Linked DNA regions of Struthio camelus. The protein of the gene in region 4 binds, or shares a complex with, the protein of the main gene of each other region. Links are inferred from orthologs where the notes say so. Each region holds a gene or a part of one and is shown on either strand. Other genes may lie near its edges.

Region 1 (7,663 bases), on a different chromosome or scaffold from region 4:
TGCCAAAATATTTCATAGAAGAATGGAACTGACATAAAATATTTTATATTTAACATATATTCACCCCCCACATATTTGTGTATGTCCTGATATGCGTGAGTATGCATATGATCCTCATGCTCATCCACATGCATGCATATCCCACACAGACTCGCACAATAACTCCACAGACCATTCTCATATTGCAACATGAGAAGCGTTAGAAAAATACAAGATACGTACACTGACCATCATCGCACTGGATTATTTACAGTGACTCTGGACGACGTCCACTTTTTAAAACGTTACATCCGTTCTACACACTCTTTAGTTTTTGTCATTTGTGTATTTTATCTCTTCCGCTACAAAATAAAAATCCATGCATGCTATAACAGCTAAATTTCTTTTATGCTTAAACTCTGTTGAACGTTTTTGAATGGATAAAGTAGAGAAACTGCTGAGGGTTCAAATTAATGAAACACAGGGAGCTACAAAGGGCAAATGTACACAGTGCACCGAAGCGATCTGGAGTTACAAATCTACCCAGTTTTCTATGTTTGGCATTCAGAGATCATATTTAAATTTACTAAACTAGTCCTCCCCTTCCCCCCCCCTTTTTGGAGTGTTTCAATTGCCTTTCCTTCTTCCAACAGCTGTGACAACTGTTAAAACAGTCAGTAAAATTAAGTCCGCTCTATAATCCTTTAGTCAACGTTACATTTTAATCAGAGGTTGAAGGAGATTTCATGTTATGAGCACACTGATTCATTTAGAATGATTAAATTGACACATATGTCAAATTGAGCAGACATATTTATTGCATCTGTTGGTGTTAGTTTATTAACTATTAGTAATTATCAGTGTTATTACTGAAAAAGCAAAAAGTCAATGCTGCAGCTGGCTTTAAGTTATTGCATTCTTTAACATGCTCTGCCTTAAAATCAAAGCATACCTAGTGATGGTCAGACAGATGTCTGTGCACTCCCAAAATGTTCCGACAATTTTTAGCTTAGATCCTCTCTGCCTTCATCTACAACGTGAGAACTGCAGAAAGCGTCTACTATTTATTTTGTGTGCCCTTACACTTGTATGTGGACACACAAGCAACAACATATAGTCAAGAGAGAATTACTATGAATATTAATAACATGTAAAAACTCTGAGGCTTACTAATTGAAACAGAAACAGAGAAGCAGACGTTTCTGAGCATTAGTTTTTTGTGTATGTGTGTCCATGCAACCACGTATTCCTGAAACCCTGAGTTGGGGCAATATACCGGGATTGTTTTAAGATGACTTTTAATTGAGCCAAAGAAGAGGAAAAAAACTAGTTTGAATCTTGCACCAGAGCCAAAAAGACATGTGCCCCGATTTCATTGAAATGCATCTACTCTAAGAGGCTTATCTAAACTAATCATTCAAATTAGCTGTAAGAAGGTAAATTCAAGAAAGCTTGGGGGTGGGGGGAGAACAACCAGAAAATAAAACTTACTCTTTGTGTATTTTATAAAGAAAACTTCTGATACCAGTAAAAGCTGTGGAAACTGCGTTCTTAAATTTATGAAGCTATCTTACGCCATAAGGCAGCGCACAGTGCACTGACCTATAAACCACACCAGAGTGGGCATCTTACCTTTTGTTTATTTTATTTATCCCAGAACATTACAGTGGATTTTGCTGCCTCCTGTTCCCAGACTGCTTGCTCCTATGAGCAAGTCTATTTGTTACTGTTTGTCTTACTTCCTGTATTATTTCACCAGTACATAATCACTGCAATTCACTTTTCATCTCTGTCTTAATTACAAATAGCAATGCAATACACAGACGCTAAGGACAGCTAGTGGGCATCTACCTATAATACAGTGTCACCTCTCAACACAGCCTTTCCACACACTGCGTCTCGGGCGATGCTTGCTATTAGCTTGTTTTTTCTTCGGTATCACCGGCGCTGCTAGTGCAACACGAAGGCACAGCTACCTAAGTGGCTCGACATAAAGAAAAATGAATCGGTGACAGCTCCCATGATATACTAATATTTAATCCTGGCTGCAGGCTGAAATCAAGTTTACGAGCCACTCACCAGCCCCAGACCGCCTGATTTTGTTTGGGCTCCGCGATTCCCATCCGAGACACCCCACGTAGGCGCATCCATCCGCACGCACCACGGGGCGGCTAGCAAGTGCCGGCGAGCAACTGCGGCTCGTTCAAAAAGTATTTCGCCGTCGTCGGCAGGGCAGAGGCCGCCGCCGAAGGGCACGGAGCGGCCGCACGCCACCAGTCCCCTACAGAAGTACCAAAACACCCCGCACCCTTCTCCGATTTTCCTGCGGGGCTGCTGCCCCGGCGGAGCGGCCGGTACCTCAGGGCCGCGCGGCGGCGGGCCGCTCCCCACCAACCGTCACCCCGCCGCCGTTGGGGGGGGGGGGAGGCGCCGGGGGCGCGCGCGGGGTCCCTCCCCTCGCCGCCGCCAGGCAGCCGGGGAGCCCGCACACCTGTCCGGGCGCGGGGCAGGCGGGCAGCACCGCTCCTCCCCGCCCGGAGGGAGCACCCCGCGGGCGGGCGGGCGGGCGGGCAGGCGGGCGCCTCCTGCCTGCCTGCCTGCCCGCCCGCCCGCCCGGCGCGGAGCCGCCGCGCAGCTGCCCCGGGCCGGCGCAGGCGACGGCTCGCGCGCACCGAGACGGCCCGGCGTTACCTGCAGCGGCGTTTTACGCGTTTGCCGTGTGCGGGGGAGGGGGGCGGGGGGGGGGCAGGCGGCGGCCGGCGGGGTGGGGGGCGGGGAGCGGTACCTACTCTTCCTCGTAGTGCAGGGAGAGCGGCTCCGGCAGGCAAAGTTCTACCGAATCCATGTGCGCCCGGCGACCATTCTTCGCGCGCCCCCGCCGCAAGCCAAAGTTTCCGTGGCCGAGCGCCGCGCCGCGCCACGCAGGTGCGCTCCGGGTGACAAGCCGGCGGGCACGGCCAGTGGGGACCAAAAGCTCGCCCGCGCGCCTAATCAAGGACTTAAAGCCCCGCTCGGCGCTCATGAATATGAAGCAGGGCTTTACATATGCAGTCCCCCCGGCCCGGCGGGGCGGCCGATTGGTGGGGCGGCGGCCAATCAGGCGCCAGGGGCGCCGGGGCGGCACGGCGCGCGGCCCGCGCGGCAGGTAGAGGGTGGGGACAGGGGAGCGGCCTGAGGCGGCGGCGGCCGTTGGGGCCGAGCCCGCAGACGTGTCAGCGCGCGGCCGGCCCGCGAGGGGCCACGGCGGCGCCGGCCTCCCCTGCCGCGGCGCGGGAGGCCGGCTCGAACTTAAAGCACACTTGGCCAGGTACCTTGCCAGGAAGAAATAACACGCAGCCTCTCACTTAATGCGGGGAAGAAATCCGCCTAAGGTAGAGAACGAAGTTTGTGCTGCCGTTATCTGTTGGTGCGTCGCGCTGTGGCGGTTGGGGGCTCGGGCTCTCGGTGCGGCAGGGCTTTGCTTTGGACAGGCGCTCCTCACCCCGCTTCTCCTAACCTCCGGAGTCGCTCGGCACCTGCCATCAAACGTAGTGTGCCGAAGCGCCTGCTAACTCAACTTCTCATTGCCACCCGAGTTACGGCTTGTGGGGGGAAGGAAGGGGGGGAGAGGGAGGTGTTGCTGGGATTTTTTATATTTTTTATATACATATATATATATACACACATACACATACACACACACACACACACACATATAGTGAAAATCTGATTTTGTACCTACAAGAAAAATGTACATACAAAACAAAACTGGCACTCAGCCGCGTTTCCTAACAGCATGGGTGCGACTGGGAGTGTATGCAGGAATGTGCCTTCCTATCCAGGTTAGATACGTGTTAACATGGCCGTATTTAACATGTATCCCCATATACAAATATTTAGGTGTTTGGATGTAAATATTTAGATCTAGTAGACAGCAGGAAAAGCTCCAGAACTGATCAATTTCTTCTGCAAGTGTGGAGGGATTATAGTGGACTAACTCAGTCTGTTTCATTTTAACAAGATAAGGACCGCATTGTAGAGGGTCTGCATTGTTAAACCTCAGAATGCACACAGACCTCTACTATGTTTTGGGGGGCGGGGGGGTTGTTTTCTGTAAAGTAAATTTCACCAAACTGAAAGGGAAGTAAACACATGCCTGCAAACACATCACCAGCCACGATTCCAGCAAACCACTAGCTTTTGTAACTCACAGTTGCTTGGCCCTGTCATAATGAAAGGTCTCTGATTAGACTTGTTTTGAGAAAACGATCATACAACAAAATCAGAGACGCTGTTCTCACTGAACTCTGCCCCCACACACATTTTAAAAGGATCAGTATTTAATTGAGAGCACAATATTTTTCTCTCAAAAACTACTATTTTTACTTAATATTACAACTAAAACACTACTATTTGCTAGTTACAAAGTGTTTTTATTCCTGCCTCTCCCAGGAAATAGATACAGGCTGTTTCTGGCAATAAAAACAAAAAAAAACACAGCAGAAAGCCCATGATTTTTCATAATTCAGCTCAACTGCTCACAAAATCTTTTGTGACTGGAGCCCTACATGATGCAAATGGCAATCTTTTAGATCAAAACAAATCAGTGCACACCCTCAGACTGCATTAATACCACTCACAAATGGGAACACAAATGCCTTCTCCAAATCCATCTCACAGTTTTTTACCAAATAAATAAAACAACAGAACCCAAGTGCAAAATATGTTAGTGCACTGGACATGTTTGTATCTGTTTACGGCAGAGAGATTCCAGTGTTATGTACTTAACCTGATGTAAAGACTGGGCCTGCTTCTTACAAATGCAGTAAATATACGTGCAAGTTTTTAGCGATCAGAACTCACACAGCAAAACTACGTCTCTGACTACTGTATAAAAGCAGGTAGTAAAAGCTTAATTACAGTAGCATTATGCTGTCTATATTGTTAAATGTGAACTCTGTAATTAAGATGTAAATTCGCTTTTGAGCAGTGAATTAAAGAGCTCTGAAATGTAGAGTAAAATCCAAGCACTGAAGAAACATCACAGACAAAAAAGGGTGGGTTTTTTTTTAATCAAATTTTAAAATGAGAAGCATTTAATCATGTTACAATACTAGAACATCCTCTTTAAGAAGCAGTTTGATAAATGCAGATTTTGGAACCAAATCAGCACTTGAATATGATGTGTTTATTTTATCTATAGATTTCTTTATTATTGTATAAACCCAAAGCACAGATCCTACAAATCGGTTTACATGTGCACATTAGCAAACCATGCAAAATACAAATATATTGTTTGTACTGAGTGTCTGTGTGTGTGTCCATTTATAGATTTATATTCAAAGTTGCTATTTTTCAGTATTTGTATGCTAAAATTTCTTCAAATCTTTTCATGTGTATGTACTTTCTTATTTAAAATCACCTGCCATCAATCCCTATACACAAGTAATTTGATAAAAGTCACTTTAAAGTATTAAGTTCACTGGAATACACCCTCATTAAAATATGACTTATTAATCCATTTTAAAAAACACAAAGCATGGGTTAGCTTATTTTTACTTTTGTTCATTATCTTCCAAGATTGTGTATTTATATTAGGTGCTGAAACATGATAACCTCTTTCCTTCTGTCACGGTATGTCTTCCAGTATGCTCTCCTTTTCACGTTCACACACTTTCCACTACCTCGTTGGCTTCTCCCCCCACTCTCCCTCTACACCTCCAAATCCATTTTTCCTCTCACCCTATTAACCATCACTACCTTTCTATCAACCATCTTTCATCCAAGCAGGCAGCTGGCTTCTCTGCCAGTGCTGCTCCTTGGACAACCAGAAATACAGTGCTATACTTTACATGTTGATAAACAAAGCAGTTGGCTTCTTCCCCTAGGACTGAAAGTGTCACCTCCACCAGACTGGGGCCTGCAATTCCAACTACGTTCTTGAACTTGGGTTTCACAGTTACCAATCAGTTGGTGGGGGGAGATAAAAAGAATACTGCAGCAAATAAACTGGGGCTACGCGTAACTTCATTGTCTCAAGATTCTCTGTACCGCTTTAGAAAGAAATAAAAACAGTAGTTGGAAAAAAAAAAAGCAGACGTCAGTTTACTGAATTTTATCGGAAGCTACAGAAGAAGAACACGCATGCAAACACACATCTTATCAAAATCTACAATGCAAAATCTTACCACAAGGAGTCTATACAAAACAGTGGTAATGGAATCAGAGAGGGGAAGGGGGAAAACTGCCATGAGTGTCTGCACTAGTCAATGGGCATTACTGAGCAGCATCTATATCTCCATGTCTTGCTGTGCATATGATTATTCCTGTGTACAGAACAGTACATCTTTAAGCGCCTTCACACTTAAATTCTATAGACATTTTGAGGCATCCAAACAGCCAGATTCTTAAAACACAACCACCTCAAGGCAACTGAAGAAGTAAGATTCAGTGGCACTTTGCAGAAGCAGCACAGTATATTGTGTCAAGCATGTATTTACCAAAAAGAGCAACAAACTAAAGTCATCTATGTAGGCGCAAAAATATAAATAATTCTATTACCTGCTGAGAATTTATTTGAAAATAAGTATACTGTTACTTTAGATGGAAATTTTCTATATACCTTGCTACCTTTTTCAAAATTTAGCTGTGGAATATCATATTTTAACAGTTTGAAAGAAATTTCCAAGTATCATCAAATAAGTGATTTTCTCTTTTTTTCAAAACCACTGAGTAAAGAAACACAACTCAAACGTGCTGTGCTGCAGTAACATCAAGTAACATCAACGTTAGAACAACACTGTCACTGTCTGCTTGTGTTAAGACGCGCTTGGCTTTTGTGCTCCTTACTCGAAGGTAATTGGGGCATCCCTGGATACACTGCTAATGCCTTAAAAAAAAAAACCTAATGCTATAAAAGTTCCAAATTCTGCTCACCTGTTTGTACGCAGTTGGGCAAACTATAGCAGGTTATTACTTTAAAACCATCTGCTACTTCAATCTGTATTTAGCATTAATTACTCCTTATTCTGATCTTAGGGAAACAAGCTCACACAGCACCATCTCAGAGCGCTCTTTAGAACTTTTCCACAGCGCATTCACAAATGCACAAAGTAACGCTTTTAGATTTTGCTTCTTACACCCAGTTACAGCATATTAAAAAAAAGCATCCGTGAAGTAACTCAATCACCTTACCATGTTTCCAAGCTACATTCAGTTCATCCAGTCTCAAAAAAATACTCCATATTTTCTGCTCATTTTATTTTCAAGGGCATGGGCATTGATATTTAAAAGATTGCCTTCACTGGTACAGTACAGAAACTGTTCACATTGCTGTAAATGAAAATTATTCTCTTGACAAAATGTCTTTTCCAAAGCCTTTGACAAAACCCAAAAAGTGAAGAAAAAAAAAGGGGGGGGGGGGGACAAAGAAAGGGGAGAGAGAGGAAAAAAAAAAAAAAAGCAAGTTGCACAGACACTGCCTGTCACCCTCCAAAAAAAGGTCTTACTCCCTAAAGATAATTCGGGCATGTACTTCAATACTGATAGCTCACTGTTACACCCCAAGCTCTTTTTTTAGTGCAAGTTTCTTCAGAGGAGCTGAAGTGCATTACTGTCTCAGACAGCCAAGGATAAGATGACTGAGGGAATTCAGTTGCTCTGTTTAATTAATACAGGATTATTTCACTTTCATTTTGTGAAGCTA
Region 2 (7,374 bases), on a different chromosome or scaffold from region 4:
TCCCTGAATGCAACTAGGAGACTTTGAGGTGGAAAAGCATTAACAGCATTTTAGTGCTAGGTATGTAATTGCTTTCCTAGATTTGTTTATGAACTGCTCTGATAGCTAATACCACCCGTTTTGGGAGATCATCAGATGCTTCCTCCTCCCTCTCCTCTGCTTGAAACAGAGGGGCATGAAGCACTTGTGATAAAATCCATAATAATTGTTTCTTATTATTTAGACCTCATTCACCCAGTCTTGCTGTATTTTGACATTTCTGAGATGGAGATATAATGTGGGGAAGGTTTAAAATTTCACAGTGAAAAACAAGTAGATAAAAAATATTTAAGCTGCTTTCATCTTAGAAACATATAACTTTTTGGTTCTCAAATTCCAGACTCACCAATTTCAAACGTTTTCCCCTCAGAAAAAGTTTGCAATACTAGAGAAAAAAAAAAAGAGAGAATTTAAAACTAGTATTTATGTTATGACTTAATCTTTACATTCGTACAACCCAAAATTCTTAAATAGAATAAGCATGTTGTTTTTTCATGTTCATCTTGATTCAATAACATACATGAAAATTACTAGGGAACTTTAAAGCGAACCACATCTTTTCATCTGAAAATTGTTCACTGATCTTGCTGTTCCTTAGAAACATTTAACCTTACCATAAAGGTCTTATAAAACTGGAAGTCTCAGTGGACAGGAGGCACAGCAGTGGTTTTCATCGTACCAGGAAAACATCAGTATATCGTAAAGTTTATAGATAATTTGAAGAAATAAAATTTTATCAGGGTAAACTTAGTGCTGCAAATGTTTAACTGTTTGCTCAAGCTATTTAAGTTGGAGGCAAATGATTGCCTTCATGCTAAGATGAGAAAAGGAAAAAGTGGCCAGTGAAAATGTGTGTTGATTGCCACGAGTGAGTAATGGCAGGTCCACTGAGATGAGACATGGTGGAAGCTGCAACAAGAACTGGGAAAAGATCTGTGGACATTTCATTGGTGTGCCCGTAGGGTAACATATTCATGATGTTTGTGCCAAAAATACATTCCATTTTATAGAAGCAAATGAATTGATTTTCATGTTATCTATATACCTCTTGAGATTTTACCTTCATGGTTTTTGGGGGAGTTTTTTTTTTTTTAATCTTCGATATTTCTGCCAGAGTTGCTTGCTTTATGGTATTTTCAAATGGTAGTTAAATTTCTAAAATAGTAACAAAGATTGTAAGAAAGAATCTCATGCATTATGGAAGAGAGTAAAGACGGATAGAAAAAGTGTAATGTAAATTTGTTACAAGTGACAAGCCCAAATGGAAGAGTCCTCTAAGAATCAATGGAGTATGTCAGCTTTTATTTAAACTTCAAAATACCTGTGTGGGCTGCCCTGAAATGTCCCAGTCACAAGATTCAAACCTGGACGAAAACAAACTTTGTATAGCAAAGAGCTTCCTATTTTGACTATGAAACTCGTGAAGCAATTATTTTTCTAAATGAGAGAATGTAGCATGTCTAAATACATTTGTGAGGACATTCTGCACAGCTTGCTTTTGCTTTTAAATAGCAGCTTTATTTTAAAGAAAAGCAATGAATCTTTCTAGAAGAAAAAAAGGGGGAAAAGCCCAACCTATCTCAGTTGATATTTTGTTCATGTGTTTGGAAAGGTTCAGAAACGGAGGGTGGGAATCCTCCACTGGCAGGCTTACTTAGTCTGGCAGTGAAATTTACTGTTCCTCTGGCTGAGTGCTTTGAATGAGAGTAATGAAGGCTAAAGGAGACAACATGATATTTTTATATTTAATTTACCTAATTCAAGATGTAGCCAGAATCCTTTGGCAAATGAGCTGAAGGTAGTTATTTGGCTAACAACGTTGTCCAATTTATTTAAAATTAACGTTGGTTGCAAGCAAACAATTGTAATACTAAAAAAGTCCACTCCCGAAATCATTTTTCGTTAGACTAGATGCCTTATTTTTAATTTTCTCCCTTGACTTTACATAGAGAACTGAGTTTGTCGATGTGTGCTTCTTCCCTTGGGCCTTATCTTCGATTTGAAATTGGTAAAGGTTTTGAAAGTTATTCTCTGAAAGGTTCTTTATTTTTGTCGTTTGTCGATTTGTTGGACGGTCTTGTCGTTTTGAGAGACTGAAGGTGCGTTTGTATTCAGGAGCGTTGCTGTAGCCAGCTGCTGCTCGTTGAGTTCCCTCTGCCTAGGGGAGCGTACAGGTAGCCGTGGCACAAGCAGCCCATTCGGCCAAAATGACATATGAAAACAGCTTGCCTGTGGTTTAATTCCTTGTTTTGGAAGAGCTTCTTATGGCCTAACACGGACATAGGCCTAACAACGTTTGTCCCAGATCCTGGGTCCTGACTAAAAGCCATCTTAAGTCTAGGAAGACCTAGCTTTTTCATGTTGATATGCAGATAGCCGTGAGGATAGTTAAGTCTCCTAGTTTCAGATATATTGAGAGCCTCTCTTGATGTTGTTACTGAGTAGCCTGTTTTACGTTATTCGTGTACTTCTGTAATTGAAACTGTGTGAGAACCACCACACTGATTGTACAGAGGCTACCAAAGAGCTGTCAGTAGCTCTATCGTATCCTAAACGGAAACGGAGTAACATTTTTTTGGGCTAAAAAAATCCATACTAGGGTCAATTGAAAGAATTCTATTTTGTGATCTATTTATTCAGCTGAAGAAGAAACTGGAAAACATGTAAAACTTTGGCATTTGTCTTTTATTTTGTATAAAAGTACAAAAATGAACTATTTTTCATTTTAGATAGCATTTTACTTTGAAGGATATATAAACTTAATTTTTAACAAGTTAAATAAAAATCAGGGTAGAAAACGGATGACCTTTTAATTTAAGGTCAATTTAAACATTTTTTTTGATAAAAATTACTTTTTCCAGCTTATTTTTCAGCAGGGCCGAAGAGACCATAGCTCCTCTAAAGCTGCCTTCATATTTCTGTAAGGCACACAAAAATCCAAACTAACAACAACCCAAACTTTTTTATTTTTGGCTATTATAACCGTCAGTTCTGTGAGTTCAGTAGTTCTGTGCTCTTCCCTCATTCGTGTCCAGACTCAGGAAAAAACAGATCTTTTCCTTCTTACTATACCTTTTTGCCGTCAACACACTGGAATTTATATATTCACTATGTGATACTCCTCTTCCAAGGACTTTTTCAGCACAATACCTGAAGTTTCATACTCATCCTTTCAGCGTGTATAAAAGCATGTATCATTCTGGACTTACCACTGTAGAAGAAGAGGCGGCTGCTGAATCTTATATATGTAATAACTTGAATAGTTTTATCCTAGACTGTCAGGAAGTCTTTCAGATTGTTGGTACATGCAGAATTTGCTGTTCAGATCCTCTCCTCTGTCTCTCAAAACGTTTCTTAACAACCTTTGAGAGTTTTGTAACAAGATCTGATTGCATATAGTAGGCAGCATCGGCTGTGTGTGAAAGTGGAGCAAAAATAACCTAATAATCATTCGGATAATGAAGACAAGTTGCATCACTCTGGCACCACAGTAGAGAAAATAAATATGATCATCTCCAAGCCAAATGAAAGGGTTACTGTTCCTCATACTTAATGCTCTTTGCGCCAGGAATGGTATTGTATTGTGGACTGTTAAGTTCTCAAGGAGTTAAAGGAGATGGAAGAGTATATATTTTCAGTAATGCTGGCCACGCTAGTTGACCTTTGCACACAGTAGGTGGCTTTCTCTTTTTATTTCAAATAAAAATATTTTACTAGCTACCATGCTTAAATAAATCAAATGAAGCTTCAAATTATGTAAAAGCTGAATAATTACATTAAATTAAATTGAAGCTTTCACTTCTGCCTTTCTGACATAATTCAGTTTTAATGCTCATCTAAGCCCTAATGTCTCTGCTGTGAACTTGGGTTGCTTGAAGAAACGGATGGTTAATGTAATTTTTTGGTACCTGTTCAATGAAGGCAATTTTTATAGTTCTAAGCTAGCTAGAATACAAAGTTATGCAACCTGTGGAAAGAAGAGGGAAAGCAGAAGCTGTGCAGGCACCGCTCCTTACCGCTGCAATCGGATACCCCAGAGAGCTTACCACGCGCTGCTGGGAGCGTTTCCTTTGGTGGCTGGGCTATAGTGGAGGAGGAAAAGGCAGATATTTTCTGTCTTAGTTTCCTACCTTTCTGGAGGTACTGCGTTGGAAGTCACTGTGAGTTAATGACAAAGTGCACTACCGTTTAGCATCATGACTCTTAAAAGCTTAAGTGTGGCAGTGGTATAGTAGATTTGTGTGAATGCTTCACTGGGGGTACTGTCAGTTTGGGTATGCCATTCACAGATGTCAGATATGTAGGTATTTCTTTTTAATCATCTTTATTTCCAGATACTTAGGAAAAGTGCAGATTGATCACAAAGAATATTATGGAGTCATGTTCTAAATTCATGCAAAAATGCAAATATATGTTTTAGCCTTAACTCTGCCCTCCTGTATTTGCATGATACAGTTTCTGAAAAGTAACATTTTAATTACATGTTCCTGTACAAGGTAACTTGTTGCTTCCCTTTTCAGCTATGATTTGGAACAATGAACTTTTATCTGACACGCTTTTGCTTGGTTAGTGCAAATTTCCGTGGCGATTTTGAGTGAAAATGAGCTTCCCAAGTGCGGTTAGACTCCCTAATACTATAAGATCTTGCCAGTGAGCCAAATATCTTAGAATGGTTCTTTCAGGTAGGGTATTTCAAAGGGGCTACTGACAGAATCCAGGGGGCAATGATGGATCTGTATGAAGGAATATGAACAATGATCATGTAGATAATTGTAATAACATTTTTTTCTTAGCGAGCAGCTATTTTTTCTCCTTGCTTTGAAACTGCTTGCAACCTACTATTACTTCTAGAGAAAAACGGTTTTTGCACAAAAAGTATGAATTATCAATCTGATATAAAGGATGGACTATTTGAATCATATGACAAACACTGCGTTTTAGGGAACAGCTATTCAGTAAAAATCCAATTAAGGATAAGGTACAGAAACAAGATTTAATTAAAAAACAACCACCCACATTTTGGAGTGGGAGTGATCCAAGACGTTTGGAAATGGTGTCTCACTTGCTGATCTTCACTAAAAGAGCTTCCATGTTCCTGAGATTAAAAATGTATCTTTGGATCAGATTTTTCTCTTCCATGTTTCCCTTCAGCTCTGCAGAGAGTATGGGCAGGCGGAATTGCTCCTCTAATTCAATTAGCTTACCTTACCTTTGTGGGAGGAAGAGGTTGTCTGCAAGGGTATGGAATGAGAGAAAGGTGTTCATCTTGCTAACGGCAAATATTCAGTAATTGTTTTTAACTAACTGCAGGAAAACAGCTGCAAAAGAAAACGGATTGAGAAAGACAGATATCTCTGGGCCTTTTGCCTTAATTCACTCACAAAAGGTATCGAGTTCCTAAGAACTGGCCTGCGCTATTGCTTACCCTTTGCATCAGGGGATGTGATTGTGCACATAGTGCTGTATAGGTAAGTGCAAGCTTCAGTTTCTTTCAGAAACAGAAAATTCAGTAAGGAATGGACCCAAATGGCAGGAGAGGGAAGTGGGAACAGTGGCTTAACAAACAGTGTTAAGTGCTCATAGTTCAGAGTTCCACCACAGTCGTCTCATTTCTCCTGTATTATCTTGTGTTTTGTTTTCATCTAGAATGGGATAAATTTCTGCTAAAATAACAGTTAATTTAATTACTGCCAATTTTCAGATTCAGTAATTAGTTCAGCTTCTATACATGTAGTATACAGCTTTGCTGGAGCTTAGTGGGGCGCATAACTTACGGAAGCCACATCTTGTCCTACTGCAAAATTTAATTAGCCAAACCATTAGGGTTTTGTCAATCATTAAAAGATATGCCACAGCATATGGCTACAAAGAATAGGTACATATAATTTAAGTTCTTCTTTTAAGATTTGTCTGTAAAGATGAGTACATCTGAATTTCACCAGGTGACTCCAGAGGAACTGACTCATCTGAAGAGCCAGTGGATGTCCCACTACTTGCATGAGTCTGAAATTTGCTCTTTGGAATGTCCGTTGCTTTCCGTCAGCCTGTGACATCTTGCTCTCTCTTCTCTTCCTGCAAAGCCATCAAAACCACAGCCAGGGGAGCGTGTCCATTGGAGGCAAATGTGCCTTAGCCTTGGCAACTTGTTGCACAAGAGGAGGAGTTGGTAGTGGGAAGGATCCGGGGCAACGTCATAAGGGAACACCTAAGACAGGAGATGCCACCAGCATCAAAATATCTCGCTGGTTCCTCTGCCATGTTATCCAGACTTTGCCCTCCTGTTTGTTCAGCTCTGCAGCAACATGATCTCCACAGCTGCTAGACTGGAGCTAATAAAACTTTCTAGGAAGGTTTAACATTCCCCTTTGACACGTACTTACTGTGGCCAGAGCGGACTGTCGTCCACTGAGTCCACGGAAGGGAATATGGGCTAACGATGTACTTCCTGGGTGGGGAGGGTACTTTGGCGCATCCTTTTCAAGTGAGGTACTTCACTGGTTGTATTAGTATGTAGTAGAAGACCGTTATTCTCTACCTCTCAAATTCAAAACGTGCTCCCATATTAATGGGCCATAAACACTAAGGCAAAACGGTGCTGTTCTATGTTATCTGATGAACTATGATTTTCTTCCTTAGTGTGTGCTCTGTGCACCTTGTACTTGTCCCACACAGCAGCGTGCTTGCTGTGGTGTGTGATGGCTGCATGCCGTATAGCATTTCTGCCACTTTCTCTGTCATTGTGTCAGTGCTCTGAAAAAGCATCCGCATAATTTTATACCTTGCCTGCTGCGGAATCGTGCAAAAAGATTTGTGTTGCTTCAGGGTTCATAGATTTTTTTTTTTTCTTGCTCTGTGGAAATATTTCCAATTATCATATATGAAAGGATACATTTTTATTTAAAAAGATTAAACTGTTTTTTGTATCTACATGGAATCAAAAAAATGAACACAAAATATTTGGCAATATGTTTCCCTTTGTGTTCTGTATTATTTCTGATAGGATGATTTCTGGCACACTGTTCAAGGTAACATCTGCAGCAATTTCTAGAGCACTTTTTAATCTAACCAAACATTTGTCCTCAACTTCCTCAGCATACCTATCGTTGCTGCTAATGGCATCTCACCAGTTTAAACAAGCTAAGTGAACAAAGTTAATGAGCCATTTTGGTATGGGTTGGAAGCGAGAAATAAAAGACCAAAGAACGAGGAAGACCTTTTCTGTGCCCAGGAAATGTGCTGGAGAGGCCAAAATGGTACTTTAGCGTCCTATCCAAAGCAAGGGAAACAAAACAAAACGGGGAAAAAAGGGCCTCAGCAGAGCAGATTCCTAGAGCG
Region 3 (7,372 bases), on a different chromosome or scaffold from region 4:
TTCACTGGAATCAATGAATTGCCTGTGTGAGAAAGACGGCAAATACATGAAAGCTAATTAGGAATACAGGTTTAGATCTCCCGATATGGTTATATACAAAGTCCATTTATGAGCAGAAAACACTGATATAAACACTACTGACTTCAGGCTCACGGCGTTTCAGTTATACAAGTGTTATTTGCATTTTATATATGAGGAAAATGAGACACAGCTAATGACTTAGCCCAGTGACCCACAGGAAGTCAGTGACACAACCAGGAATAGAACTTAGACCTCTCAGCAGCTAGTCCCATGCTTTAACCACAAGACTAGCCACCCCCTTCCCATCTTATATTAGCACAACTCTAAATCTTAATTGCATCACCTACTAATTTAAGATGTCTACATGTATACAATTTTGTAGAAAACTGAATTTCTAAGGCTGAATAAGTTACATTCATAAATATTTCTTAATTTAATCACCCAACAAATTAGGATAAAATGGTTTTAAATGAGAATCAACATAAAAGTATCAGAAATTTCTGGATGCTTTAAAGTGACTTCTTGAGAAATGAATATCTTATATATTAACAAATCTGATGGATAACAGTATATGCTTGAGCCCTTCATTCCTTTATGTCTTTTTGTCTTCATTCTGTGTACGTGAGATGCAGTCTGGACCTATCTGATCGGAACGGGACTAGACTATGAAGATAACGGCCTATCACAGAAGAACCAGACAGCTCTAGAAAGTTATCCTCTTCAAGAGGAAAAGAAATCAGAGAAGCCAAGAGTTGGGGAAAGACCAAAGATAAAGAATAAACCATTATAATTAGAGTTAGGCAGGCTGCTGTGATCTTGGCTTTATAGAATTTAAAGCAGTCATGAATTTGGATTCTGAGTTCTTTTTATCTAAGACTCATAGTTCAAGAAAAGTAGGATCACTTTTAACTAAAAAGGTTCCTGTTTTGATCCGCTCTAAAGTTATCTATGACAAACCTGCATTACGCCTAGTCCTATCACCTTTGCTGGATACAAGGCACAGCATGCAAGATGAAACATAACAATACTGTAGTGCAAACTGCAAAGAGAGCCCGGAATCGTACCAAGGGATAGTCCCCTACTATCACTTAAAGAATGCGTCTTACACTATAGACTTTGCCACATATATCTATATAAAACGCCACTGATGGCAATTTAAACCTCTCATTTCCTTCAAATAAAAGTGTATGTATGGGCAACATGAAAATTGGAGTGAGGCAGAATATTATGAAATCCCTTTTACAAACATATCTCCCCAACAATCAAAAAACTGCCAACAGACTGACATGCTAATAAAAAGTTCTTGCTACTAATAAACGAACAGCAGATATTAATTCAGAAATTACATAACCCAAGAGAAAGTAGACACTGTAACTGTAAAAAAGGCAGCAGCACAAGTTTCTTAGCATACTTAAACTCCTTTGCCTCAAAACAATGCAATTTCCACAACTAGAACTGTTCTTTTAACTGCTAGACTTATAGTTACACTGCTAGCATATGAGATTGCCCTCCAGATGTTAAAAAGTTTGGCTAGATGATTTTTCATTTTTTGCAGAATACAGAGATGGGATACACTGCGTGATTTGTGATTTCAAACTTCTGTAATGCACCTAGAGACTTAAAGCATAGCCACAATGGAAGCATCAAAATAATTAAGTAAAAGTTGTAACTAGTATATTTGCAGAGAGAGGAAGAGGTATAAATCTCTCATTTCTGTGTCCTTACAAGATTTCTATCCTTTTCAAGCCAATCGTAGAAATCACAGTATCATAAGATCTCTTTATTACAGTCATTGTTCTAACCTAAAATCAAGCCATAAACCCTACCTGGCGTAGCTTAGAACCTGTTGCACAACAGTTCTTTCATTGAAATAGAAAAGTAAAATAAAAATGTATATATAAGAGAGGCAATTAGAGCCAGACTAACACCCTTATCCATTCTGAGCCTCCACAAAGAACTCTTACTCATTTCAGTGGGACTACTCTTGCCATATGATTCACTTTAATCTGCTTAAGATTTTCTTAATGATTAAAAAGAATTCATACTCAGCACAGAATTAAGATTTCCCTTTCAGAAGCATCAAACTCTTGAAAAGAGACTTACCACAAAAACTGAAAGAATGATTAATAATAATATAAAATGCAGTTCTCTTACATGAAAAGAAATCTAAAGCTTCTATATGCACTACAAAAACAAAGTATAACTGATCTCTTTGTAAAGACAAGTTATCCTCTAATTTTAAAAGTAGAACTGATGCTGAGAGCCCTTTCCTGCTTCTCTTTGAACTTAGGGGAGCATTGCCCATGGTTCAGAAAGGCCTGAGCCTAATGTTTCGTTCTTATTTAAGAATGTTTAAATAGCCCACTAAAACTTAGGAATTCACTGAGGTAGTAGAGGAGAAAGACCCCGCAACCCAAAACTGTGCAGTCACATGATACAAACAAAAGGTGTACAAGAAATTGATGAAGTAATTTATCATGACCATTTCATTAATGTAAAAAGAAATTCTAGAATTAATTATAGAATATATTTGTAGCCTACTTGATTTATGTTTTAATATAAAATGATTGGCTTTCCACGTGCTGCAAGTGAAAAACACTTGATAAAGCAAGGCAGATTAATTCAAATTATAAATAAGGCCTATTTTTAAGGGAGAGCGCAAGTACCAAAGAAAGTTCATGGATTCTTCATCTCTTGATTCTTCAAACCAAGATTAGCTGCCTTTCTAACTGATACATTTAATAGTATTAACCAAATACTATGTGAAAATCTATGTTCTGCGTTAGGCAGGAAATCAGACTAAGTAATTTCTTTTCCCTTCTTGCCCCAATCTGTTAAAATACATATTTACAAAACCTAAATAATTTGAACATAATAATCTAAAATATTTCACAAGTTCTGTCCAAGGGATGAACTTGTTAAAATAATATAATGTATATAACAGAAACAAAATTATATAATGTTTGTAATACTTTTCCTGAAAGCTCTGTTTGGGCGGCTTCTCTGAAAAGTCAGATGTGTCCCTTATTTCACCTATGCCATTTAATTAGAAATCTAAAGTTTGCTTTGTTTTTCTGCTTTGCTTATGAACTTTTATTAAAAGTTTAAACTCAAAGCTATGAGTATATACAGCCACAATCAGATGTGCAATAATGCCTCCCAATTTCTGGAGCGCTCCCAGTTTCCTGGAGCACGTTAAAGTCTAGAGTTTCAGAAGGGTTCTTCTATCCTTCAGACACTTAAATGAAATGGCGAGATCCTCCAGTGTTCTTTGTCCGGCTGTTTGCTATGAGAGCAGCGTTTTTTTCTGTTTGCAACAGAGCTAATTCTGAACTCTCCGTGGAGATATCCAGCTAAGATCCTTCTTATTTTAATATTCTACTGAAACTTTACATGAGATACTGCTGTAAAATGGCTAGAAATATTATTAATTTCTATATTTCAACCTCTTTTATTGCTATATTATTTTTACCTACATTTGCCTATTTATTCACCCATGGCATCTTGAGCCAATTCTAAGGTTTTGTTTTACTTGTTTTCAGTACCTGGCCCCCAATACAGAATCAGGGGATTACTGAATAGGTATTACCGCAGTATTTTAAAAAGAAAGTCCAAAAGAAAAACAAAAACCTTACAAACAAAAGATTTCCACATTTCTACAGCAAAAAGTTCAGATGGAGAGAAAAGCGTAAATGAAAAAAGTTCCTTGATATGTCAAGGCAGAAGTTAACACCCACCTCAAGCCTATACAAATAGATAATTCTCATTAAAAATTAACACAAGGCTTCAAGCCTCTACAGACAGAAAGACTATTCTCATAAACAAAAAGCTGTAGGCCATGTTAGTATCTATATGTAGACCAGATATTTTGAGGCATTCAACCCTAATCTATAAATTGCCTTCAGTGTACAAATAATATAGCAAATGTAGACTCCCTTTCAAAATGCCTGATGACTAAGAACCGTAATGAGGCAAACTTAGGATCCTCTGAATCCTCTAACGATGTCCAAGAGATCAAGGGTTTTTAAAGATAAACTGTTGTATCCTGGGGCATCTTGACTTACAGGACGACTCTCTAAACGCTGCTGATCTTGTGACTTTTTTTTTTTTCCACATCTAACTTCTTTTTAAAAGAGTCTGAGGGTGAAACAGGAGGAGGTGACATACTTGTTTGAACTTGCTCTCTCTCGAGACCTACTGAGAAGAGCCTGTACCACATCTCTCTGCATTCCTCCGTGGGGGGGGGGGGGGGGATGACAACCTGTAGCCAAAAAAAAGTGTGTGGGGGGGGGAAGGAATTTCATTTACCTCTGTTACTGCTAAGCCTGTTTTCAGAAAAGCCTGTATTCCTGTCAGTGGGACACAGACTGACGCGAGGAGACAGGACCAACGGCACGCAGCGCAGAGAGGAGTTAGCTGGAGGAGAATGGAAACGCAAAAGAGAAAGCAGTTAGCAGCCGGAAAAACTGAATTTTCAGTTACACAGCGGAGGAGATTAGAGAGAGCAGAGATCAAATTCCAGATCCACTGCAGGGGCCGCGGTCTGCCCTCAGGTACGCACTTGTGATCCCGCTGAGCGGGCACGAGCCCGCAGGGCACCGGCTCCAGTGCATGGACGCGGGCTAAAGGCGAGAGGAAGGAGAGGCGGCGGCAGCACCTCCTCCTCCTCCTCCTCCTCAGCGACCCGCTCCCTCTGCGCGTCCTCGCCTTCCCCCGTCCCTCAGCGCCGCGCCGCCCCTCCCCCCGCCAGACCCCGCCAACGGTCGCGGCGCGAGCGCCAGCGCCAGCGCCAGCCCCGCGCAGCACAGCCCCGCGCAGCGCGGCGCCCCGAGCGCGCGACGGCGGGCGGCGGCTCGCCCCTCGGCCCGGGCCGCGTGGGCCGGCGGGGTAGGCGGCGCCCCGCCGGGGGGGAGGCGGCGCCTGGTCGGTAGGACGGGCCGAGCGGGGGAGTTTATCCCACTGGAAGGGAACAGTTTCTCCCGCTGAGACTTGACAGCGCCAGGTCGGTGCGGGCTGCGGCGGACCTTCCCGCTGAGGTGAGGGGCGGCGGGGCCGGGCCGGGCCGGGCGGGGCGGCGGGGTGCGCGGCGTCCCGGCGGGCAGCCGGGGCGGGGGCCGTGCCCCGGCGCGGGCGATGCGGCCGGCCGGCCGGCGGGCTCTCGCCGAGGCGGAGGGGGCGAAGCGGCGGGTTGGCGGCGCGGCGGGGACCCTCGCTGGGGCGGCAGGTGGGCAGCGCCCGCCGGGCACCTCCGCGGGGCGGGCGGCCGCCCTCTCCCCCCCCCCCCGCCTCCCCGCCCGCCGAGGCGGCAGCCGGGCCGGCACCGTGTCCATGGTGCTGTATAGGCGGCGGGGCTGGGGCTGGGGCTGGGGCTGGGGCTGGCTGGGGGGGCAGCGGCGGTCGTTTGGTGGCGTGAGGAGCGTGCGGAGCGGCCAGAGGGGCGACGCCTGCCCCGCGGAGCTGGCGGCAGCCGTGCCCGTTGGCCGCCGGGGATGGAGCGGTGCTCACCTGCCTGCTGCCCTCATGAATGAAGAGACTTCTTCTTCTTCTTCCTTTCCCCCCCACCCCGCCCCGCCCCGCCCCGATTTCTCAACCGCAGAAAATCGGGGAGCCTTTCTGAGCCCGCAGCAGCCGAGATGTGGTGTTGAAATGTGTTAGGTCTTGACGGCGCGCCTCGGGTTTGCGGGAGCGTTTGGTAATCTTCCTGGTGTCATTTCTCTCCAGGGTGTTCTACAACTCAGAGCGCAAGTTCCTGCCGTGTTGTAACTCTGTGGCACTGTGTACACACGACAATACAATGCTGAGTTAACAGTGATGTATTTATTAATAATGTAGTGACGTAAGACCAACATTGAGCCTGATGAAAAGCTCAGGAAAGTGTCAGTTTCTCCATGTGCGGTGGACTCTAAATTTAGGTTCCCTTAAATCAGAAGGATCAATCATAACTGTCCTTGAAATAATTGAGGGTCTGGGCTGGCGTTGTCTTTGCGACCTACTGCCCCATCTCTAAAAGAGCTTTTGCCATGGAACATGGCTGTGACGGTCCATTTAATAGTGAGTATCCAAAAATAAAAAATATTCTTCTGGTAGCAATTAGTCCACAATTTAATCAGTAATTTAACTTTTAAAAGGTTACTATGATTTGTTACTAGTTAACTAAAAATTCCCTGTGTACACCAAGTAACTATGTATGACATAAGGTGTTCAGTGCTGTCCTTTGTAAACACGTTTCGTGTGTTGTGCGCTCATTGATATCAGAATTTGCTGTGTGAAGTGGTGTTTGGCATTCTTATTCTCCCTGGCTGTCACTAAAAGTCACTGCAAACATTGCTTAGAGATTTAATTATCAGATTATAAAAAATCACTCATAGCAGTGTGTTAAGGCTTGTGGTACAACATAGACATAGACTTGTCAAGGGGAGAGAGAGTAGGAAAAATAGTTGACATGAATTTTTACATGGTAACCAGTCAGAATATATTTTAAAGGTATTTCTACGCAGGCAGCTTTTGAATTTGAATATTCTGGGGCATCAGTTTTGTAAAATACCTCATTAACTGTTAGGGATTCACAGATCATATCTCTGTAAACTGCCTTAAGATAGTATGCGCTTCTTAGCGGTGCCTCATTGTCAAATTACTGGATATTACAATTTATTAAATGTCAATGTTCAATGAAACGTCGTTACAGTATGGTCAGTGCATAAAGAATTCTCCTCCTCTGATATAAGTTTATATTTCGTATTATAAAAATCACAAAAAATGAAAGTGGCAAAACGTTAGAATTAAGTTATGGCTTTTAATTTTCCTTATGAGACTGATAAAAACACCCACTATGAACATTTCTTCTAAATCTTACTCTTTTCCATCAAGTTTTGGAAATAGCCATACATTTCTAAATCAATAAATAACTGAAGCTAGGCCTCAGTTTATATGTCGATATAAATGTTTACTTTTAGCAATGGCTAATAAAGTGAATTTTACAAAAAGTTATATTGTAAAAACAGGAAAAAGAATAAAAGTAGAAAGAAAACTATTATGTACAAGGCTGGACTAAAATTCATAATGAAAAGTGTACTTAATGATATTTTCATCTTGATTTCTGAGGCCGCCTCCTAATTTTGACCCTTAATCTGTTCAAAATTGCATTGACTATATTTACCAGTCTCTTTTTTTTTTCCCTAGTCCAATTGCGAATCATTAGTTGTGAGTATTTGATACTCAGAATCTGAGTTTCTTTTACTAGTTTTTGTCGCAAGGTTTATTCCTATATTCTGTTCTGGCATACATTAAAACAGTTTGCAGCACAGCTACTCAAGAGAAATTAAAATACAATTATAAATTCTCCGTGGTAGAT
Region 4 (7,143 bases):
CCACAATCTAACAATGTGTAATGTTCATTTTAATAACTATTTCTGTGGAAGACATTTATTTTTGTTCTAGAGCATGAATCTCAGAAGAAATTTGCCTGTACAGTTCTATTAGGATGTCCTTGTTTAAAAATCTGGAAAGTAAAGCATAATGCAAATGAAATCAGTTACGTTATGAATAATGTAAGCTATCTATTATTCCTTTTATTATAAAAAGTTGCACGTGCTTCCTAAACCTATATAGATACGTTCCTATGATGTGATCCCCATTGCAATGAGGGCCTTGGAAGACAATGGAAGGAGGAGAGACCGAAGTGAATTAAGTTTAGCTGGAGTGCCAGGCCAAAAATGCATTTATATTGCCTCCAGAGTGCCACCATGTCTTCACACTGATCACCAAATACTTTGTGAAATATAACTCGTCCTTCTGCAGGTGGAGAGGCACAGAGGTCATCTTGTGCCCCTGCTCCCCTGCCCAGAGCAGACCCATGCCCAAATTACACCCTATGTTCATCCATGGGGTGGCTGGCCAGGCGGCCAGCTTGCATCCCAGGGGTGTTTGGCAACTGCCCCCTTCCCAAAAGCAACCAAACCTGTGTCTTTGAGGACAGAATTTGGCTCACAGAGTTAGCACAAGGCTATGTCTCATTATTGTTTCCTAATGAAACAGTCTCTTTGGCTGAGATCCTGCAGAGATTTATGTACTGCTTAATTCTATACACTGGGAATAATCTCCTTGAATTCAGGGGGACCACAGAAGTGCGCAAATGCAAGTCTCTACAGCACTTGTTTGTGAAAATAAATAAGCCGTGAAACAATGCAAGTGTAGTTCCAAGCAGTGAGTTAGTGTAAATATAAAATAGATGCAAATGTATTGCCAGTTACGCAACCTTCCAGTGCTAGAGGGAGGGGGAGAAGAAGCATTTTCTCCAGCTTAAAATGGAGATCAAAAATCCTTCTGCAATCTACAGATTAGAGATTGTTTCAAAACTGGTATTAGGATCTGGTTTGAAATGAATTTCACTGCGAAATAAAATTGATTATGAAAGTTTCTAGGTCTTAACTCCTTAGTGGCAAGAAGTAGAAATAATATTTTTTGCTGGAGTTTTCTATGAGGATTATTGATATAGGCTTATAATATTTTCAAAAACAGGAAAAAAAATTAATAATTGCCTGTAACTGCAAACATCAACAATATTAGTTCTTTCTATTCCTTTCCTGCTCAGCCTGGTCCAATTCTACTACCTCCGTCTGTCTTGTTTCACAGGATGAGATCTTCAGGATCTCCAGAGAAAGTGATTCTTTGAGTAACCAAGGAGCCCGAAGAAAGAGTAATGTGACATTAGAGAAAGCACACCATGGCATGGTTAGCACTTGTGTCTGCAGTATATTCTTTCCAGCCTAGGATACTTTCTCATGATGTCCTCTCCTGCTCAGGATGCACCTGTTCTGAGCACCTTATCCACTCACTTGGACAAATGAATATAACTTTAAAAAAAGTTTTAATTTTTTTTCAACTGGTAAATTATTTTTTTCCCCCCCCTATTAACTAGTTTCTCTACATTGACTGGAGTTTTGCAAGAGCAGAGACCTCAGGCTTCAGGACGTTAGCTACCCGGATCACTCAGAGCCTCCTAGGAGAAGGATCACAATAGTGGAAACAAACTGACCACAGGTCATTGTATGGCTGGGAGGCTACACAAGGGTTTTAGAAAGTATGCTAGGATTATGCTTCAGATTGGACTTAAATGCTGTCGTTTTCCAGCTATTGAGGGCAGGAGGAGAAGAGAGTTTATAAGCATGCAAGCTGGGATAAGAGAAAGGAAAAGTGAATGCCCCGTGCTCCTTTGTGATTTGGTCCCTGCTTTTTCAGTATCACTCATTCATATGCACCTTCCTTTTGAAGTCCCCTGGTTAGAGGGACTGGTAGAGGTGAAGACAGGGGAAGGGTGCTTTCCCGTGTGCTAAGAGAGGGTGCTAATCTCCGTTTTGAGAACCGAATGGCTTCTGCTGTGCTGCTCTAATCCTCCAGCTAGAATGAGCCAAACTCTCTGTTACTCAGCTGAGCAAAGCTCCCACTGAGTTATGCTTGATTAACAGCTACGGCATTTGGTTCTGCATAATTGTGATGAGAAATGCCTTAGCGTTTCTGCTCAGCCTAGCCAACATCGATCTCCACAGCTGCTGGTTCCCAGCATTTCCCAGCTACTACGTGGGGAGGGAGGGAAATCTGCACTTTGAGCAGCTGCAAAATGCTGTATTAGGCAAAGCCCTGGTAAGACTGGTAAGTGGGAATGAGAGTTAGGCAAGTGGCAAAGCACAGAGCTCTCTCTCTTCCAGCACGCTTACAGTTTCATTGTCTAGAAAGTGTTGTTGGCTACTTTTTCTTTATTTAAAAAAAAAAAAAAAGTAATTGGGTTGCTGGCTTTGCCTTTTGGGATTTGTGCAGTGCAAAGGCCATTAGTATTTAGCATTACGTAAGACCTTTTATGGGTCTGTCTTGATGGTGAGAGAAGGTCTGTTTCTCTTAATGGAGCTGACAAACCTGATTTCAAACAATTTTTAGTGTCTTGGGCAGTGAGAGTGAATTCCACAATGCAGTATGGTCTCCAAGTGGTAAAGTTATGTTCCCTGAGTTACAGGGGGATCATGAGTGTACATCATGGAGCATGGGCTGCCGAAAACTGTATTCTTTAGACAGACTGTGAGGTTTCCCCTGCTGACTATTGCCCATGACTTTCTAATTGATCCATGCAGTTTGAAAATCTGCCTGTCAGACATGGATAGCGATACTGTATTGGTGCTAGGCTATGACTATATGCAAGAGTCACTTTATGCAGAAAATAGTCTTTGGTCAATATTGCCTCTAAAAAAACCCAGAAATACTGTGCTGTACTTGTCTAACGATCACTGAATTCAAAAACCTCTATTTATCCCTTCAAAAAACACAGTCAAACTGTGTACACTGGAAAAAAGTAGATATTATATAGGGCTGTTATTAAAACACCTTAAGTGTCCTACTCGGCCTTTGAATTAAAAAAATAAGCAAAAGGCCTGCATGCTGCATAGTCTTTAACTAAAGAGGTGCAGTTAATGAATTAGGTTTGAACCTGCACTGTGATTTTTGTGAGAGGCGGATTATGAAAAGGGCGTTAAACTTAGGGAATCTATAATATTTGGCAGGGAGTTCATTAGTTTTCATTTCCATACCCTTGGCTCATTCCTTAAAAATTACATGTACGTAGAATGGACAGGAGAAATTTCCTCTTGTGAGTAATACTCTTTCAGTATCTTAACTTTTCTATATCAATATGAAATGATTATAGAAAAAAAATCAACATGAACATCATTTTGTTTCTACTGCAGAATTATTAGGTTCGGGTAATGACTTGTCTATTATGCTTGATCACCAATTCTTTGCTGTATAGGTCCCCAATGGTAATCCCCCTTAGCTTGAACAACAATGTGGCTTGAATGAGGACTTCAGGGTATAGCAATGAGGAGAAGTGGCATATGCGGGCTTGTGATTCGGAGGTGCAGATGCGCAGTCGCTGTGCTGGCAGTGAAGTGCCCTTGTCCTGTGTGCTCTCTGTGAGTCTGGTTTTGAGAAGCATAAGGCTCTTCACACTGGTTGAAATTGCTCTGGGGTCAGTCTCTTTATCCTTCTTGGGAGAGGGAACCTGGATCCTGCTGTCCTCACTATTGACCATAATATAGTTCCATTCCTTTGGTTTAAAGACCATAATTCTCGTTGTTTACTTGTTCAGCTTCTTTCCGGTCTGCAAGGGTGTAATGACAGGTAAAGGTATATGGCTGGTATGTCTAAAAGGCTGGATGCTAATTTTTGGGACAGTAATAGGTATAAGTAGATGAATTTCTACTGAGGGGTGCAAATTTATTTGATTTTTCTGTGTCGAATGGGGATATCACTAAGGAAGTAATTGTCTTAATGTTTTGCTTTCTTTTTATGAACGAATAACTGACATTTTGTCCTAATTCTTTCTCTGAATTCTGGGAGTTATATGCCATCTGAAGAGTGATTCCTCTACCCCCTACCCTTGGAAACACAAGTAACTCCTTTTCATTTTTTGAAATTAGTCTTCCCAAATATCCAGGTGTTGTGTCTGAAGAGCCAAGAAGAGCAGATGTGGGGAAAAAGAAACTGGAGAGCAACAGAAAATATCATAAAATAGATATCTGCCACTCAAAACCATACGTTTCTCATATCTACTTTTGTCTGCTTGGTATGTAGCCTACACCAGTTTAGATTATAGTTCCTGATACTCTGAGTGGGTGGAAACAAGTTGGGGTACGCTTTAGGATGGTCTGATCTCATCTATTTTTCCTTTATATACCTCTCATATACATACTTCTCTGAATTTGGTCTCATCTGTGAGGCCTTGAAATGTTAATGTAATGTATGTAATGTAAGAATTCAGTACAGAAGCTGCTGCCACATCTCAGAAGTTGTGTGGCTCTGCTTTGCCTGCTCTATAATTTCCAGTGCCGCTTTTGCTTGCATAGGATAAAAAGAAAGTGAGGGACAAGTAAATTACGGCAGTACAGTCTATGGTACTTTGTAGCTTTTATGAGGCTCCTATGCCTGACTGCAGAGAGTTTCTTTACTCTGCTGCATTTCATTTTACAGTGTCCACTCTGTATTCCAATTTCTAGCAAAATTTTAAGGAGTATTATTTTGTTGCTGATGTTGTTCATGAATTACAGTTTTAATGGATAGGGAGCTTATATGGAGAAAAGGGCTCCTAATGTGTGTGTATATGTTACTGTCATCCTTTCTTTTTGTTTTAGGTGCTTTTCTATAGGAAATCTACTCTTGCATTTCTGACAGTGCAGCTGTACTAACTGAAATGACTGATTACATGCTTTTTGAAGGACATGTATGAATCTGCAAATATATTTACATTTCCTAATTAATGTTTTAAAGATTTTTAACTTGAGATTGAAATGACTCTAAACTTCAACGAGGTTAATGCTAATATGTGTTGGATCTAATCTTTGATACCCAGGACACCCTGGGAAACTAATGATCGCTGCAGGGGTTCAATATCTGTACCTATGTAATTCCTCTTTTTAGCTTTTTAGAATGGGGGGAGGGGGAAATGTGTGTGTGTGTGTGTGTGTGTGTGTGTGTGTGTATGTGTGAGGGGGAATTAAAGATATATTTTTATAGATAGTTAGCAAGAGCCATGGGCATTATGGGAGCCCTAAATATGGGAGAATATAACTGAACTTGGCTGAAGAATAGGCCATCTTTAGTCTCCTGCACAGCACCAAATGTTACTCCAAATGAATCCTCACTGAGGTTCATGGAAGACTAAAGCTTATTGTCTGAGCAGCATTTCAGTTCTAACTTTTGCACAAGGCCCCTCCCTTTAAGCAAGAGACCTCCTGTTTCTAAGCTGTAATTGTCCCTTCCAAATATTTGGCCAAATCAAATACTGGTGCAGATCAACATACCTTCATTGCCTTTAGCAGGCTAATGCTCCTTCACCTCTCAAGCCTTATAGTTGACCGTTTGCCAAAGGCAACCTTGTCATAAATTAATATGAAAAATATACTTGATTTTTAGTAACAGTTTGTTTAATTTTTTTTTCTTTTAGCAGAATCTAAATCTTTTAGCAGCATCTTCAACTGTGTCACACAATTTAAAACTAAACAAGTCTTTTTTTAATACTAAATTATATTAAATCATCTTGAGCTCTGGGTTGAGAGACATATTACGCTGGTACACTAGAGCAGAGAGTAAGACACAGAGGAATGTAGGCTGTTTCCAAAAATTAAAAGAAATACAAATGACTTTACCTGATTTACCCTGCTGGAACATGTGGCTTGGCTTGGCTTTGCTTACAGAAAAAAAACAAAGAAACAAACCCCCCAAACAGAGTACATGAAGATATAACAACAACTCAGTAGGAGGCATAATACAGATTTGCTTCATGTAGAAATCCCTTTGATTTGTTTTTCTTTCATGTGTAGCACTATTATTTATAACTCTAGCATTTATTTGCATGTCTCTAACTGTAGTGTTTACTCCCAGGAATTGTTTTTTGATGGCTGATTGCCCCAAATCGAGGATGGCTAGATAACCTTGCCTTCAGCTAAAATAGCTTGGTGGTTTTTTCAGCAGCGGAAATACAAGTATTGATAGAATACGAAAGTCAAATTTTTTTTTCTTTACCCAGTAACCTGTATACAGAATAAAATGAAATCTGACCTTCTAGAAAAACTTATAACGTAATATTAAGGACCTTTTCCAGAAATCTGATTCTTAGGTTGAAATATAAACTGAAAATGCCTTTGATTCTACTTGTTTTCCCCTACTTGCAATGTATTCAGAAACCTAGTAAAATAACATTTTCTTGGAGGATAATGACCTAATGAAAAAGCATGGCTTCCATTTTAACTCATGGAAATTTAACTCAGAATAAACTTTAATAGACTTTTCTAAACATGTTGATAACTAAGACTAGACACCGGCCAGAGATGTGACTACTATTATCATCTTGACTTACATTCCTTAATCACTCCCTGAGATATCCTATATGTACACTAAGCATGTATTCTAAGCCAAATCTCCCTATTAAAAACATTCATAAAGCCTCTGGATGCCATGAAATCCAAATAGAGGTTGCTCGTTGGACCCTTCCATTATTTCCTCAGTTATAGTTGCTTTCATTGCAGATGTGTTGAATTATTGCATCAATACAGTTACTACTATATTCTACAGTTACTGCTATACATAAAAAAGGTAATGCTGATGCCTTGAAAAATGCATCTATCTGTTCACCTTGTTCTTGTGCTATCCAAGTACCTCATGTGTGTAGAAAACAAGTAGTGCCATAGGCAATAAAAGTTAAAGTCTGACTTCCTATAGATTTTGCTTAATACATAGGTTTCCTTGTATGTAATAAATTAACATGGCAACTTCTCCTCAGTAGAGCGATTATCTTTCCTCTACCCTACCATCTATAGATGTACACAACTTTATCTGACAAAATATTTTTTATAACTGTTACCATTTTGTTAAAATTTGATTGAAATTACCCAGGAAATTCAGAAGTTTTGCAAGATAGTCAAATGAATTGGGGCACGTATGCAGGCAGTTGTATCAACTGACTTCCTTTG

The links.
Region 1: the proteins of NRIP1 (region 4) and ESRRG are in contact, whole or in part, in a crystal structure (PDB 2GPP), measured with the Homo sapiens proteins. The link is inferred for Struthio camelus from reciprocal best matches to the Homo sapiens genes NRIP1 and ESRRG. Residues at the interface, in NP_001426204.1 of Homo sapiens: Ser378, Leu379, Leu380, Leu381, Leu383, Leu384, Lys385, Ser386, Gln387; in NP_001429.2 of Homo sapiens: Val277, Ile280, Lys284, Phe289, Leu294, Gln297, Met298, Leu301, Gln302, Lys448, Leu449, Glu452, Met453.
Region 2: the proteins of NRIP1 (region 4) and RORA are in contact, whole or in part, in a crystal structure (PDB 4S15), measured with the Homo sapiens proteins. The link is inferred for Struthio camelus from reciprocal best matches to the Homo sapiens genes NRIP1 and RORA. Residues at the interface, in NP_001426204.1 of Homo sapiens: Thr499, Leu500, Leu501, Gln502, Leu504, Leu505, His507; in NP_599023.1 of Homo sapiens: Gln332, Val335, Lys339, Phe344, Met345, Gln349, Gln352, Ile353, Leu356, Pro505, Leu506, Glu509, Leu510.
Region 3: the proteins of NRIP1 (region 4) and PPARG are in contact, whole or in part, in a crystal structure (PDB 9CWN), measured with the Homo sapiens proteins. The link is inferred for Struthio camelus from reciprocal best matches to the Homo sapiens genes NRIP1 and PPARG. Residues at the interface, in NP_001426204.1 of Homo sapiens: Ser130, Thr131, Leu132, Leu133, Ala134, Leu136, Leu137, Ser139; in NP_056953.2 of Homo sapiens: Val321, Gln322, Thr325, Lys329, Phe334, Leu339, Gln342, Val343, Leu346, Lys347, Pro495, Leu496, Glu499, Ile500, Lys502.

Annotation. Positions count from the first base shown.
Region 1 is NC_090944.1:116,100,307-116,107,969, forward strand, and holds the start of ESRRG (estrogen-related receptor gamma), read right to left. Parts: upstream 3,002-7,663; coding exon 2,769-3,001; intron 2,392-2,768; exon of another isoform or gene 2,127-2,391; coding exon of another isoform or gene 2,059-2,126; intron 1-2,058. UniProt on the Homo sapiens protein: Orphan receptor that acts as a transcription activator in the absence of bound ligand. Binds specifically to an estrogen response element and activates reporter genes controlled by estrogen response elements.
Region 2 is NC_090953.1:20,321,106-20,328,479, reverse strand, and holds the start of RORA (nuclear receptor ROR-alpha), read left to right. Parts: upstream 1-4,361; 5' UTR 4,362-5,507; intron 5,508-7,374. UniProt on the Homo sapiens protein: Nuclear receptor that binds DNA as a monomer to ROR response elements (RORE) containing a single core motif half-site 5'-AGGTCA-3' preceded by a short A-T-rich sequence.
Region 3 is NC_090955.1:20,125,108-20,132,479, reverse strand, and holds the start of PPARG (peroxisome proliferator-activated receptor gamma), read left to right. Parts: upstream 1-4,360; 5' UTR 4,361-4,447; coding exon 4,448-4,574; intron 4,575-4,582; exon of another isoform or gene 4,583-4,749; intron 4,750-4,911; exon of another isoform or gene 4,912-5,057; intron 5,058-5,742; exon of another isoform or gene 5,743-6,041; coding exon of another isoform or gene 6,042-6,072; intron 6,073-7,372. UniProt on the Homo sapiens protein: Nuclear receptor that binds peroxisome proliferators such as hypolipidemic drugs and fatty acids.
Region 4 is NC_090942.1:112,855,393-112,862,535, reverse strand, and holds the start of NRIP1 (nuclear receptor-interacting protein 1), read left to right. Parts: upstream 1-4,140; 5' UTR 4,141-4,241; intron 4,242-7,143. UniProt on the Homo sapiens protein: Modulates transcriptional activation by steroid receptors such as NR3C1, NR3C2 and ESR1. Also modulates transcriptional repression by nuclear hormone receptors.